3 linked regions of the Arabidopsis thaliana genome follow. The protein of the gene in region 1 interacts with the protein of each later gene in a pairwise test. Each region holds a gene or a part of one and is shown on either strand. Other genes may lie near its edges.

Region 1 (4,921 bases):
TATCTCAACTAAAAAATTCACACTTTGTAGAAACCCCAAAATTGATATTAGTATTTACTGAGACAAAGATCAATAATTCGGGGTTTTGATTACCAGTACGGAAAAGACGGTCGAGAAAGTGAGTACCAACGGCTTCGTAGACCTTGTTGAGAGAAACGATGTCATCGTTCTTACAGAATTTGGTGACGAGAAGTAGACCGGCGAGCCTCTGCTCGTCTCTCTCCCCTTTCAATAGCTTAAGGCAATCGTCAAGCGACGGAGATCGTTCCTCCTGTGGTGCTGCTGCCATAATCACCCAACTCAAAGAGTAACAAAAGTAGACCAAGTCGAGAGAAAGGTAAGCAAAAAAAACTAAAACAAAAGCCGTTCGTTGGAGAAGCTGAAGGAAGAAGAAACAAGTCATTAAGTCGGCATTCAGATTTTGGGCCAAATACCAATGGGCTTTGTTAATAATACAAGTGAAATCATTTAAAATTATCGATATATTAAAAATTGAACCATATAAAAACCGAGCCGAACGTAACCATGCATCAACCGGTGAGAGAAATCAGACGAACACAACAACATCGTAATACTACATTTCAAGCTAGTTTAATTATGATAAATATTGCTTGATACATTCATTACAAACGAACATATTGACACTTTACAAGAAAAAACCCACACTTGCTTAAGCGTTCGTTACAAGACGCAAACCAACGAAACAGATCACTTCCAAAAACTACTAAGTCGTTACAAACAACAATTTGGACTCCAGAATCCGGTTTCATAGGCTAACCGGTATCCACTATACAAATAACACACTCTGTACGAGCATAGAACCGGATTCGTTTCTTTCATATACGGTTCCCAAGAATTCACATGGCAAAGAACCATCCTCTAGTTAGCCGCTATGTCACCTACGACTTCCCGGTCCTGAGTTTGGTTACAAAAGAAGATCTTGACCGGGTTGGTTTAATGAAATTGCGCAATTTGAAAAAGAGAACGGATCTTGTTTTACCGTTTACGTTTGTTCTTGGTGAGAGTAGATGACGTGGAAGAGTTGCTGTTCCAGTTTCTTTTCCTCTGGTTGATGAACCAATTGTTGATCTGTTTCAACTGCAAACCGGTTTCTTGAACCAGTTTTGCCTTATCTTCCTCCTGCAATTCCAAAACCAAATCACGAATTAAAACCTTGCTTTTGACAATGTGGTAACAAAACTTCTCGGCCAAGGTGTTTACAGTTGGGTATGGCCATTTCGAGTGAGTTCGCCACCATTCTTTGAGTACAGAAGTCGTATCTCCTGGCAACTTTCCCGCCCTTCTCTTCCTCATTATCTCTTCTCTTATGTCCACAATCTTCTCTTTGAAACCCTACAGGGGAAAAAAGAAACCGAGCAACATGATTTAACAATGTGTTTTGTATAGTTTGATGTACCATTGCAGCTTGATCAAGCAATTACCTGTTTAAGCTCATGCTTCAGTTCTTTCTTCACACGTTCCATCAAAGATCTCTCTCTCTCGGTTGGAACAAGAGGACCAAACCCCATCAAGCAATCTGAACCGTCCAAACTTCCATCAAACATGTTCACCTCGCTCTCTACTTGATTATCATCTTCATCATCCGACATTGTCTTACCATTACTTTCACTTGGAGAAACTCCTACAAACCAGAACAAAGAAAAACCGATAAAACCAAGACACACATAAAGCAAGAAGACAATAACAAAAAAAAAAAATGATTTGGGACGTTACCAGTTAGGGATTGCAGTGATTGTTCAATCTCCCAACAAGCCGTAATGGCTTCCATTGCATGGACACAAACGTGGTGTTGGAGTTGTTCTTTAAATGAACATAACAAGACAACATAATGTGACTGCATCAACATAATAATCAAAGGTAAGATTCCAATCCATAAGACATACAAACAGAACGTTACAAAAAATAGATTATGCTTTCTTTCTCTTGGACATGCAAAGTCCTTTTCAGCAAGAATCAGACAAACTATTAGTCATCAAAGAAGAAGCTTTATGCAACAAATATAACTTATTTGAGTCAGACAAAGTTCATAATTCGAATTACAAGCTAACCAAAAAAGTAGAAGCAAAGATCATATCGATTGCAAGACTCGAGAAGCGGGAACAATGAGCCACACAAAAATGTGAATTTGCTATACTCAGATAATCAAAGAGAAATAAATGGCTGAATCGTTCACAGTTCAAAACATTAAAATTTTGCAAAATTAGAAAGTGAAACTTACCATGAAATGATCAAGTTCCTTGTTGTCAACAACCACACCAAGAGTGGAGTATTTCGCGGCGACGGTATGCAACTGACTGAGCTGAGCATCGATCCTCGGAATCTGGTCAACGGGAGTCGCAACCCTAAGGCAAGCCACGTGAGCCGCAAGAAGCTGCTCGTACATCGGATGTCTTAAAATCGCCGCCTTATAGCTAGCACTCCGCCAATCTTCACCTCCTACAACGCCGAGTATCGTTTCACCATCGGCGTTGACTCCGTCGATAACTTCAGAACGTACTTCTCCAGTATTTTGCATCTCCGAATGAAAGGAGAGCCAGCGTGGGTTTGTATCAGCAACGGAATTGTCTCCGTTGCGGTGCGGAGGAGCGAGATCGGAATCCGCAGTGGTAAGGGTGGTAGGGAGGTTGAGGAAACTGGCGGTGACAAGCGAAGGTGTTTCAGAGAAGTGACGCTGCGGCGGAGGTTGCTGTGATTGATCGGTGAAGTGTCGGAGAGGAAGGTCTTCTTGTGGAGGAAGGAGGTGGGAGCTGTTAAACGACATTGTTTTCCTGCGTTTTTGGGATCGGAGAAGAGAAGACTGTTTTCTCTTTCCCCTAGTTATTTATCTCTCTGAAGACCAATATTTTTTAATTAATCTTGAATTTTATATTTATATATATTTTTTTTTTTTTTGGACTCTACTTCAATCTCTTTGTTTTAATGTCAACATAAAGCCTGTAACCAAAATGAAGCATAAAATAACTCAACCTACAAGAGCCTGTAATTCTGTAATTCACAAGTTTTGTGAGCAATGATTTGCTTACAAAACTTCTGTTCTAGAGTGTAATTTTCTTCTTTAGGTCTTTATTCTCCAAATTATGATAAGTATATTTACCATTAAACTCATTGTAGATATTTTTAAAACCCAGATATTTTTTTCTTTTTTACATGAAGGAATGTCATTTTTTTTTAATCTCTATACACAAAAGACTTGGGATCCATGAAAAAGAAAATAAGCTCATAAACAAGTTGGCAATTTTTTCTCAAATTTATTGGGCATTTAAAAACGAATCTTTTTCCATGAACACGCCGACAACCCACCAATAGCATTACACCTCCCAAGTTTATATTATAAAAATTCAAATTAAATAGTAGAAAAATGAATGTCCAAAGAGATTGATAGATCTTCTTGTCTTGGATTAGTTGAGCGGAAACTAGGGTTTTAATATAATAATGTATGGAGAATAGTGAAGAAGAAAATGTTTGGAACATAAAAAGTCTATTAGTTGTCCTACTTTTTCCTCTTTACAATTTCCAACAAAAGCTTTTAAATCGGTACAAAGAGAAAGAAAGAAAAAAAAAAGTAGTTAATTTTGCATTAAAAATTGATAACACCATCTATTTAAAACAAATTTTTTCTTCTAACACATCAAATTAAAGAAAACAGAGAGGGAGGGAGGGAGGGAGTAAAAAGTAAAAACCTAATTTTCACCCTCTTCCTAAGAAAAAATCAAGAAGTAATTGAGCATTTTACCCCAAAAAAAGAAGGAAACGGAAAACCAGAATGTGACGGGAGAGTTTCATTACACCACTTATTACATTCACTTTTCTTAGTTGACATCTCTAGCTCCCTTCTTCCCTTCACTATAATTCGATCGCAAATCTTCATATAGGCCAGTTTTTAGCTAGTTCCGTACAATATCTCTTCCTCGGATGGCGCCATGTTGAGATCAGGGAGGACGAAGAAACTCCCCTGATTTTGCGAGTCACTGGTTTTGCAAGATTTTGATCCCTGTAGCCGCTCGAGTTGTGATTTACGAATCAAATCAACAGGTTTCTTGTTTGTGACACGGCCTGAGTTTAAGTCAAGCTGAAACAAGAAAACACAAGAGTCGATGAGACCAGCAAATAGAGAGAAGGGATCTGGAATATCTGATTACTGTAAAGATGGTTAGGGAGAATCTAAATGTTACCTTAATCCTCTTCAGCTTTTGGTTCCTAAGGTTTTGTTCATCGAATGTTGCTCGGAGACTTGCAATCTCCTGTGGAAAAATATTGGGTTTTTTTAAGAATACAATGAAAACCATGATAATAAAACAGAGAATAGCAACGAAAATCTACCTTTTCAAGGTCAAGTCTCTCCTTCAACTTCAAGTTCTCTTCATTTTTAAGCTCAAAAGATGACTGCCAAATATTAAAAGAATAAAAAACCATCAGCTCAATAAAATTTGAATTTTGGAGTGTGTACTTGAAATTCAAAAAGGAGACTTTATATTTACCTTCCTCTTCTTCAATCTCTTGGAGAAACAACTGGTGATTTCGTTTGTGGGAAAAACCTGCAAAACAAAAACGCATTTGATTAGTCAACTATTAAATGGCTGAAGATAACGACAACTGTTTTACTTTTATAATCAATACCCAAGATCTTATTTTAACATACCGGTAAAAAGTTTCTTTTCCCACAACAGAAATTTCAAACAAGTAAGAAAAATATATCGAAGAAACCAAATAGAGCATAAAATTAAAAAATCTCAAATATATAATTGGGAAAGAATTTTTATAGTGAGGATTTGATGCCACATCATGATTATTCCGTGTCATGGGCATTGTCATCTATCGTCATCACTCTTTTAAAGATCACGTGATACCAATCTCTCCGACAAGATCATTTTACTCGTTTCAACTTTCAACCCACAAAACG
Region 2 (3,577 bases), on another chromosome or scaffold:
CACGACAACAAAGAGCCTTTAGGTTCTTAAAACTCTCTCTCTGCTTTTCCTCTTTAACCATATACTCTTCTGTGTCAGTGTTAGTTTCTCTCTCTAGCGATTTATGTTATTCAGGCTCCATTTTCATGTTTCCTGCTTCATTACTCATTAGGACTGGAACCCATTTCTACTCCGTACTTGATGGGTTTCTGACTTGTCTCCGTGTGGCTTCTTGTCACTACACTTTTGGCCTTTTCTTGACTCTTTTTTTTTTCTTTTGACATTTTCGCTCTTGTTACATAAGTCGTTACCATGACTAAACTCCATCAATCCTAATCTAATCCAAGGTTTATCACTACATGAAACTAATATAATAAAACTCTTTGGATTTGTATATTGTTTCTGAAAATATCACATAAACATTTAGCAGCACATACTGTTTCACATTTTAATTCTAAAATTGAATTATTATCATCCATGAGGCATGTATTGAATAAGTATGTTTTAGTTACTGATTTTTAAATTACTGAATAAGTATGTTCTATTACCTTCACAAACCATAACCAGAGACGAAAAGGAAGCGAGTGATTTATATGTCTTTATCACGTTATTCAGACAACACAAAAACTGGTCTTGCAAAGAAAATCTCCACGGCTACATCAAACTCTTTAAAAGAACTACAATTAACCAGAGATTTAAAGCTTTTGATCATAGTTCATTCTACTTCGATGCAAATGTAGAGTTTATGACTTCAAGCCAGACTTGAACGAAAACCTTGATAATGAGATCATGATACTCCTTGGGATTCAAGGTAAGGTAACATACTAGAAGATCCTCCATGTCGTTAGAGGTTCTGATGTTGTTCTCTGCTATCATCTCCACCATTGATTCTCTGAAATCCTTGCTCGGATCGATAGAACTCTTGATTACTGCAAAACTGTCAAGAATTTGTTTGTTCTGTGATCTTGATTTGCTTCTACGAGGCGAGACTTGAATTCTAGGAGATCTCGCTCTGAGCTTTATCCTTGGAGATTTAGCTGATGATCTTCTTCCACTAGAAACTAATGTTTTCTGATGTTTCTTCTTGGTTCGACATGCATCTTCCTCTTCATCTTCTTTCTCTTTACTGACCTTCACAGAGAGATGATGAGGTATATGTGTTTCCTTGGTTCGGTTACTTGCACGACAGGCTTTCTCCGTTGAATCAAACTTCGTGATCTCTTTGAAAGTTTTCTTCTTGAAATCTCTATTATTCATGTCGATGATAATATCATCTTCAGAAGAAATGACTTTCAAGTTGGAAGAGGCAGAGAGAGAATCATGGCTTTGATGAAATGTTTTGTTAAAACCTGCAGATACAATAGAAGAGGAAGGAGGAGAAGGCTTGTAAACAGTCTTTCTTTTGCTCTGTATGTTGTGAAGAGAGTTTCTTGGTGAAATTTGAAGGATCCTAGATTCAAAGGATGTGCGTGAGCGTGACCTATTGAAGAAGTAAGAAGTTGAAGAGTAAGGAAGAGACTTTGACTCAGAGGAAGGTTTTCTCTTCTTGGTAGTGTTTATGGAGTAAAGAGGAAGAGAATGCTTTTTTCTAGGTTTTGTCATGTTCTTGAGCTTGTGGAACCATTCACTTGGGCTCATAACTGACAATCTTAACTTATAGTTCCTCATCTCTAATTTCAAAAAATAAGTGATCTTCTCAGATAAAAGAGAGAAAAAAAATATGTATAGTTTGCAGAGTTTCTATGTGACAAATAAAAGAGAGAAGAAAGTGTAGAATTGGGATGTAAAAGGGACAAGACGGAACAAAATTGGGATCCACTTCATAGAATGTCTTTGTTTGTACCAAACTCATTCCGGCTTCTCTCCCTAACCGAATAACCAAGTTAAACCAAATCAAATCAAATTTAAATAAAATATCCTATCTAAACCGGTGTAATCGAAATAATTGAGGTGTACGTAGATGAGATTGAGAATTAAAAGGTTTTATTAGACTTGAAAATTGAGCAACAAAGTGTCCTCAAAAATTGTCTGTCGGTAGTAGGTCGATTGGTGGGTATCAATTAGACTAAATAGAATATTTCTGGTAAATTGCTTCCAAAACATAATTCGGCGAACGTGACAAAGGGTTTCAACAAAAGAGGTTAAACAAGATTTCAGGTTCATGTCCAATCTCTTAATATAGCCATAGTCATAGTATATAACAATAATGGTGTAGAAGAAACTGTAGAGAATAATAAAAGACATATTTGCATAAAACTCGGCGTGTCGTCTCCTTTTCACCAATTAGCTTGTGGTCTCCCTACCTCACACGTGTGTGTTTGACCAAAGCTTTTTTTTTTTGGGTCAACGACTCATATTTGAAGCTAGGGTTCGACAAACGAGCGGGGTCAGTCACAACCCTAACGACTACTACTGATCCCAGTAAACACCGATATATTTACCCACTCCTCCTACTCATAATGTGACAATATCTAGGTCAGATTATAGCTTAAAATTAAATTTGCAAAAAACATTCAAATTAAGGCTCAAGTTCATGGGACTCCACCATCACGACTTCGTGTCAAAGGAAAAGACGTGAAACCCACGTAACTCGAACCACCCTCCCAAACCTACACATTATACCACAACAACAACAACAAAGAATAAATCAGCTTCGGAAGGATCGAGAATGAGACTGAAGTCAAGTTTGATTAGCTTGAAATCAAAGCTTTCAAAATCATGCAACAGATTCATCTCCTTCTTCCATGCTCGTTTTCGCAATGTCAATACCACACAATCTTCATCATCTTCTTTGTTGTCTCGTCTCTGTTTTCTCAATACTAATAAGGAGCAGAGGATGAGCCAGATCAGACCCAGAAATTCCCCGTGTAACAACAATTTCTTTTGTAACTATTGTCGATTTTATAGAGTACCTTTGATCTAAATTTTATTCTACAAATATGCCACTGCAGCTAGTCTGATCGATGATTCCAAGCTTCTGCATTCAAGAAAGATGTTTCCTTTGGCTATGACGCAAAGGAACAAGAAAGCGAGGACGAGTCAAAGACATATGTTAAAGGAAGATGGTGTGAAAGAGGCTTGCAGAAGATTCGAGAACTATATGATCCATATGTTCGTTGAAGATGGGAAAATAGATGACTTGATGGACATGGAAGAGCTTCTCTATTATTGGAAGAATCTTAATAGTCCAATCTTCATTGATCTTGTGACTAGATTCTATGGAGAGCTCTGCACTGACCTGTTTCCAAGCGACCATGACGATTAAAGATCATTGAAATGGGTTTTATAATATATGCATGATAACACAGAGCATTGGATACAGAGTAGCTTTCTCTGTGTTCTGTTTTTTTTTTGTAAGTTGTACAACTTCAAGTGACAGGAACTTGATTTTACTACATTAAATCACGGAAATAAAAGATAATAAGAAAAGATTATTAAAGGATGGTACATTTCACATTTCTATTTACCAAGATTTCCGGTAAACCCCAGAATTCAAAAGATGAGAAATCTCAAGGTTTGGTTGCTTCTTCCCTCACCAATGGTAGTAGGCATTATTTCTCCGGAAAATAATCAAGGGGGAGCCTCGTCGTCTTCATAG
Region 3 (7,259 bases), 1.9 Mb from region 1:
TTTTTATTCAAAGAAAGATTGTTTGCTTGTTTTATGTATTAAGAGAAATATAATAAAATGATATATTTCTTAAGAGCCATTGGTTTTCACTCCTTCATCCAACTAACAACATAACAAAAGTCGGTTTCTTCTACTTCTCCTCAATCTTCTTCTCATCAATTTTCATTATGCACCTCAAAAACAACATTTGTTTTTCTTCTTGTTTTCACCTGCTCTAGATGTTAACTAAGTGATCTGATAAAATAAGGTTTAAGCCGCATGTTCATAAATTCATTTTAGTCATATCTAGAAATGTCGGTGAGAAATTTATAAAAAACTGCATGAACACTGAACACATCTATAGAAACTTGTGTGATATCTATACAAAAACAGATACGCTAAAGCCCAATAAAAGAATTTTGGGCCTATCACTTTCCTTATTGATGGCCCAAACAATTGGGTCACCTCTTCAAGCTTGTATCATGGATTCATGGTAAGTGAATCTATATGATTGTAAATCAGTGATTTCGAACGATTTGGGACTGTTATGTTATAAAGTGAAGGTTTTCATTTTGAACAATTAAAGAAATCTCGAGAAATTAAATAACCAAGAATACAGATATATGAAAACAATAAGTCGTACAACGTACATTAGTTTTCGAAGGGATTTACGTATCGTTTTCTTCTCTTCACGAGATAGAAAAAAAAAAGCAGAGGAGGGCTAGACTAATGTATTGTTTTGACTTTTAAGAGACAAAAATAGATTTTCAATTAAAATAAGTAAGAATGGAAACTATAATTAATTAATTAAATGGAGTGACAAAAGCAAACTAAAAACCCCCAAACTCTCTAACGCAGAAAGAAGCGTCTTTGTCAGGCATGTTTCCAGCGTGGCGTAAACCAAGCGTGAGAGACACGTCACCAGTAGGGTTTGTCCCAAACCTTATAACGTTAACACCATCCATGTCAGCATCATCGAACCCACCTACACTTTGTTGACACGTGGCAACGGCGGAAAACGCGTCTGAGCCACCGTAACGAGAATTCAAGTCGTCAGAAACAGCGGCAGGAGCGGCGGCGTTGGAATAAGAGGAAGGGAGTAGAAGTGATGAAGCGTCGTTTTCGTAAGCATTAATGTTGGATCTTAGACGGTGGCCTGTCGCTACTGCTGCGTCTGCGTCTGATGCGTCTGGTGCGGTTGTCGTTGGAGTTTGTGAAGTGGTCCGAACGGCAGTGAAGTTGCTTTCATTGTTGTTGGATTTTGTGCTCTTGTCGTCGTTGCTGTTTTTTGTTTCTTGATCTTCTTCGTTCTCTTCTAATTCCTCTTCTCTTTCTCTTTCTTTTGATTCTTGTTGGTACATTTCTTCCACCATTGGTTTCCATAAACGAACCCTAGCATTTATGAACCAATTTGATACCTGAATAAAAGAGACAAAATTTTCACTAGTTGAATCATTATAATATCGAAATAAAATTGAGGGCTCTTTTTGTTTATTTGTCATTTGGTTATTTAATGTAGGGATACAAGAAATTGAGGGTTTCTTTGGGACAATTGAAAGCTGCAAACTTTGATGTACTTGAGGAAAAATGGACCCTTTTGCGTCTTTAATGTCGATCTCTTTCTCTCTCTCCTATGTTTTTGTATATATAAATATGCTATAATAATTTAAAGACGAATCCCAAGAAAAGCTAATGGTGAGTGGAAGGCAAAACACATGGTGTTCCTCTGTCATATCACAAACCAAACAAAGATAAGAAACAAAAACCATGCAATAGAGTCATCTCAGGCTACTAGTTAGTGTACTCGTACATGGTGTCAAATAATTTTGGCTTAGTCAAATTCGTTTTGAGTAACTACTAGTATTTATTATTTGATGTTTATAACAAGCATGTATATGTTTATGAAAATTATGAAATGGGTTTGGGTGATAAATTAATATTGTAGTTATATATATAACTGTGTACTATTGTGGAGTTTATTTATAAACATAGAATGATGGGTTTAAAACAAATCTTTAAAACACGCGGTTAAGAATTCGTAATCCAGACTGTGGTCATTTGATTGTCTGATTAAGAGTATACTCAGCTAACACAACTTGGTGAAGTAGAGGCATATGTATTTGATTCATGGAGATTTTAAATTTCATTATATCGTTGGCTATATGTATATATGTAGACTGACCTGATTTCTGGATAAACCAGTCTGTCGAGCCAATAGGTGTTTATCTGCATCACTTGGATACCTGAGAAAGAGACCAGAAAATGACATCACTCTCTATCTTTGCCCTAATAAACTCAATGTAATTTATTTTCTTTATCTTTTCACTATATACAATACAATCAAGTAGACGCAAGAAAAAGTACAGACTTTTTCCTAACAAGGGCGTGAGAATCTAACAGACAAAAGAAAAGTTGATGATTACATATCATCGATCCAGTTTTTTTTTTTTTACTTGGCTTTTTTTGTTTTGTTTTACTCTTAAAGCAATTTGTCAGAGAGGTGAAAATAGTACAAAAACACTACTCTTTTGCTTTATTTCCATTTTTTCGTTCACTCTCGTTAACAATAAAATAGCAAAATTCTAGAGACATAGTACTAAAGAAAGTAGAGGTGAAATAACGAGAAAATAAATACTTTTTCTCAGCTTTTTTCAAAATTCAGTTTCTCTATAATAATTAATAAATAACGAGAAAGAAAGAAAAAATTGACTTACGGGTGAAGGAAATGTTCGAAGAGCCAAGCTCTAAGTATATTGACGGAGCGTTCAGGCAAACCGCGTTGTGGCCGCCAAGCTTCTTGTTCCATCATACCCATTTGATGAAACGCACGGTTCTGACGCAAACTTTGCTCTAGCAAACGCAAACGCGGAGTTTCACCTTTTGTTAACCCGGAAGAAGAGATTCCCGCTGCATCTTTGTCCCCAAGAAGTTCGCAACTCTGCTTAAGCTGAGCCGCAACTGCATCTTTAAGGCATCTAAAATGTCTTGACATAGCTTTTTGAGCCAATGCGGTGTACGGTAATGCCGCACCGTGGCCCATTACTATGTCGAAAGAGTTCACAACCATCTGCATTTGCTCGCAGTAATGGTTGTACCGTCGGTCCACCTGCCAACGAAACAAAACTATACATTATACAATCCATAAATATCAATATTTGCCTTTTTCTTTTAATTAATGTTATTGTTAACTCGTGTGTGTTGTGTTATATGTTCACGTGATTATTATTTAGTGTAGATTTTATCACGGGAACCTATGCTTGTGTACGAGCATCATCTAATAAATAAACTAATGAGATTAATTAGTTACCTTTAAACGAGACAAAATAAGAAAATAAGATATTATATAGACAAATTATTGACCAGAGAATATACTTCAATGTTTGCGCAATCCTACCAACAGCACATTTTATCGTATCCTCGAGCATAAACTAAAATATTTATTTCTAGTGAGAAAAAAGCAAGGTCAACTAAAAAGTAGATAATTCAATTATGGGTAAACAAATAAGTAACGTCAAGGGTTAGCTTTAGGACGTAACTGGAGAGTAGCTTATATGGAGAAGGAAACGCCAATTACATAATTAATCGTAATTATTTAATGCATTTTCTTTGATTAATCGATTCCACCAAACGCTAAGCATCAAAATATTCAATATACTTTCTAATACGACCGTCACACGAGCAAAATGATTAAATTAATTTTAATTTTAAACAAATGATGGTAGGATTGCGCAATCAAACTCTACCAAAATAATCAAAAATAAGTAGTTAATCGAGAAAACAAAAGACCAATTCAGTCATATCAGGTTTCTTGTTTCTTTGTCATAACTCTTGGATCAATTTATGAATCTTATCGAAATGTAACGAAAACAATTTTACGTAAAATGTATGAACTAATATCACTGTAGAGTATAGACAAAGTCAAAATCAATATTAAAAGTTAATATGAACATACCTCTTCAAGCATGGTGAGTAGTTTCACTTTCCTTCTTTGATGCTCAATCCGATCAGACGCCGATAAAGGAGGATGCTCCTTGTTTGCTCCGGCCGACGAAGGAGAGCTGCCACCACCATCACCACCGCAAGTATTAGGGTTTGAGCTGTTCCCAAGTTTGTTCTTCTTCAAAAATCCTCTTCCAACACTACAAAACTCTTCCAACAACTCTTGCGCGGCCGTTGTGTACCTCGAGTTTCTTAAGATATTGACCGCTGCCATGGAAGAGGAAGAAGCAGCCGGAGATGATCGGAATTGGTTTAATACTTGATGGTGATGTTGAGAAGAATTAGCAAGAAGAGTCTTGAATTGATTGTATTGATGATGAGGTGATGCGTTAGAAGAATTGGCTCCGTAGTAAATGTTTCTATACTCTTCCGCTTTTGCTGCAGCCTCTAAAGACGATGAGAGAGATAAGGACAAGCCTTGTCCTCCGTGTCCTCCGCTGTTTTCCACGTGGACGGTCCCAATCTCCGTTTGGCTGTTGTGATGATGATGATGATGATCGGGAGAAGACTGCCACGTCGATATCTGCTGGTGATGCTGATGTGGAAGCTGATGCATAGACATATGATTAGTGTAGTTCTGATGGTGAGTTGTGTTGGTGGATGGACTTGGAAGTAACATGTGAAGAGTTGAAGAATTGTGGTGGCTCCTTGGGGAAGTTGTGGATGACGGAGACGGTGGTTGTTGCGGTGGCGGTGGATTCATCAAGAATAACTGCATGGCGGCTGCGGTGGCGGTGGCTGAATCCGTAGCATTCATAGCCGGAATATTCTGATGTTGCTCCTCAAGCAACTGCCTATTTGACCGGAAAGATTGGCCGAGGTCGAGATCTCTTCCTCCACCGCTGCTTCCGGGGAAATTAAACATTTCGGATAACATACCGGCTGATTCGTAGACCGGAATCCTACCTCCGGCGACTGAAGATTCCTCGTCCATCTCTACCCTTTGATGCTCTTGCTTCTGCTGAGTTGTTAAATTGGGAGAATCTGATCGGTCGAATCCATTAGAGAAGTTGAAGATACCTCCTTGGTGTTGATTATGATGATGATGATGATGATAATCTTGGGACATAGAATTATTGTGAAAAGTCTTCAAGAGAATTGTAGTATTAGGAGAAGTTTTAGTTATTCCCATATCAATACTTCAATCTTTTTCTTCATGATATATGTTAATATCGTTCCAGAGCTCTCTCTCTCGGATCCTGTAATGATTCAGACAAAGAATTTAAAACATATGTAAGTCAGAAACTAGGTCTTACGCTGTTTTTTTGTCCATCTATCTACATCACCTATATAACTGATGATGAACAAAGACATAGAGATATATATATGTAGGTATCTATATATATGTATGTATGCAAAGAGAGAGCATAAGAAGATAATACCTTTGGAGTTTGTTGCAGAGAAGATAATTGAGCTTAGGTATCGTTTTCTCTCTCTCTTTCTCGCTTTCTTTTTCTGGACTCTCCTTTTCTTTCTTACTAAGAGTTTATTCAGAATTCACAAATATTATAAAAGATATATATATCGGAAAGAAAAATATGCGAGAGAGAGGTCACTCTTCTTTCTTCTTCGTCACCCTTTTTAGCCCACCAATCTTCTTTATTAGTTGGTTTCCTATATATATATAAAGCTGCTCGTGCAAAAAAAAAATCGGTGATTTTTTAAACTATGGTTTCTTATGAAAGATTTAGTTGAAAAGGTTAATAGTAGGATTGAAGGATAGAAATTTCTAAGATGCGTCTTTTTTTCACGTAAATGTCTTCTGCCATTAACAATTTGAAGATGTTTATTTTCGTAATTTTTTTTTTTTTTTTTTAAGTGAGTACAAGGTCATATCTCAATGATACGAACCACCACCATAAATTTTAGTAATACTATCGTGACAAAAAAAAAAAACATATATAATATTTAAAATACTGCCATATTTATATTTCCCATAATACCCTCATCTGTCATTCTTCTGATTTCACTGGACTGACTCGCAGATAGGGTCAATTAAGTCCATATTTACGTAACTGGTCATTGTTGGTGCATAGCTCCCCAGTCCTCATCAGCATAATTTAAAGTCTACACATTTATTTTAAATGTAGCATATCTCTATTATCTTAACCTGGAATACCCTAAAAGATCTTCGTAAATAAAAAACTTCATAAAAAAAAAAAAAATCTTCTTAACGTTTGTTAATTTTTTTTTTCTACTACATCAAAATTGAATTTACTTACTTTATGCGAGAATATGACTCTCTAAAACTCCGTACGACTGGTCGTAATCACAACACCACAACAAATTAATCTCATATAATCAATTGATTTTAAGTTCTAACCACAAGTTAATTATCCCTTCCAATCGACTTTTCAGGGAAATGACAAATTAGTTACATATTAATTAGCATTTTCTAATGATAACATAATATATCCCACATACATATATACCAATACAGTGTTAAATAAAATGTAAGCTGTATTTTCTAACAATTAGCATGGCCGAAGTAATAATACTCATGCAAAATAATGCAAAGGCTAGAAAAAGTATATATTCAAACTATTTTTTCCGGCCATCGATCTTGTGATCATAAATTAAATTTTACTACTTGAGGGTCGAGTACGATGTAACTATGAATGGCTTGAAGGATAATGTAATGAAATTCGGTGTGCATTTTTTTTGTTTGGTGTATCAAATAAACAATAAAAGATGAGAGTTCGCACGAGCGGGAGTTGTGGTTTGGAACGTGTGAAAGGTAGGAGGACGGTTCAGAAGTCAAGTGCTCAAAATGTTAATTAGGTTTATGTGGGGGATAATCTAGAAAACCGATGAAATCGACACATAACCGTTTTTTTGGTTCAACAGCTTTGAGTTCGAGTACTTGAGTTTCTTTTTTTGGTATGGCTAGACTATATTTTTAATTCCATGGTTAATATATAGATATCGGAATTTCTTTCTTAAAGCGGTGACATATTTCGTATCACGTCTGTCTTGCTAAAAAAATAGCATTCCCAAATTCGAGTTTTGGTGCATATCCCACAAATGGTTAGAGAAAGTATTAGATATCGCACCGTAGGCATAAGTCCATATTGGGATAAATAATTAATGGAAATGTCGAAAGCACAAGTGTAACTCCACTTATATAATAACATTGAATTTTGTTTATTGTGTGACACCATGTGGGAATCTTTCATGTCAAAATCATATCAGCACGCAAATTCTGTTATTTTTTATTTTTTATTTTTACACAGTTAATTCATGTCGGAGTAGTAATTAAAATAAAATAAAATAAAAACACT

The links.
Region 2: the proteins of KNAT5 (region 1) and OFP4 interact in a two-hybrid assay, tested with the Arabidopsis thaliana proteins (one large-scale study listed by BioGRID).
Region 3: the proteins of KNAT5 (region 1) and BLH2 interact in a two-hybrid assay, tested with the Arabidopsis thaliana proteins (one large-scale study listed by BioGRID).

What each region holds. Positions count from the first base shown.
Region 1 is NC_003075.7:15,491,988-15,496,908, reverse strand, and holds KNAT5 (homeobox protein knotted-1-like 5), read right to left. Parts: upstream 2,921-4,921; 5' UTR 2,783-2,920; coding exon 2,240-2,782; intron 1,856-2,239; coding exon 1,735-1,855; intron 1,643-1,734; coding exon 1,443-1,642; intron 1,354-1,442; coding exon 1,222-1,353; intron 1,141-1,221; coding exon 1,001-1,140; coding exon of another isoform or gene 997-1,000; exon of another isoform or gene 916-996; coding exon 900-915; 3' UTR 528-899; downstream 1-527. Other genes in the region: AT4G32050 (neurochondrin family protein), read right to left, coding at 94-289; AT4G32030 (uncharacterized protein), read right to left, coding at 3,902-4,090, 4,194-4,262, 4,342-4,404, 4,500-4,556.
Region 2 is NC_003070.9:2,124,155-2,127,731, forward strand, and holds OFP4 (ovate family protein 4), read right to left. Parts: upstream 1,749-3,577; 5' UTR 1,648-1,748; coding exon 700-1,647; 3' UTR 522-699; downstream 1-521. Other genes in the region: AT1G06923 (transcription repressor OFP17-like protein), read left to right, coding at 2,648-2,846, 2,931-3,244; AT1G06925 (endonuclease/glycosyl hydrolase), read right to left, coding at 3,550-3,577.
Region 3 is NC_003075.7:17,367,274-17,374,532, reverse strand, and holds BLH2 (BEL1-like homeodomain 2), read right to left. Parts: upstream 5,619-7,259; 5' UTR 5,361-5,618; intron 5,355-5,360; exon of another isoform or gene 5,178-5,354; 5' UTR 5,111-5,177; coding exon 3,932-5,110; intron 3,086-3,931; coding exon 2,694-3,085; intron 2,223-2,693; coding exon 2,162-2,222; coding exon of another isoform or gene 2,138-2,161; exon of another isoform or gene 1,706-2,137; coding exon of another isoform or gene 1,646-1,705; exon of another isoform or gene 1,398-1,645; coding exon 810-1,397; 3' UTR 522-809; downstream 1-521. UniProt on the Arabidopsis thaliana protein: Transcription factor that establishes leaf shape by repressing growth in specific subdomains of the leaf. Negatively regulates knox homeobox gene KNAT1/BP expression.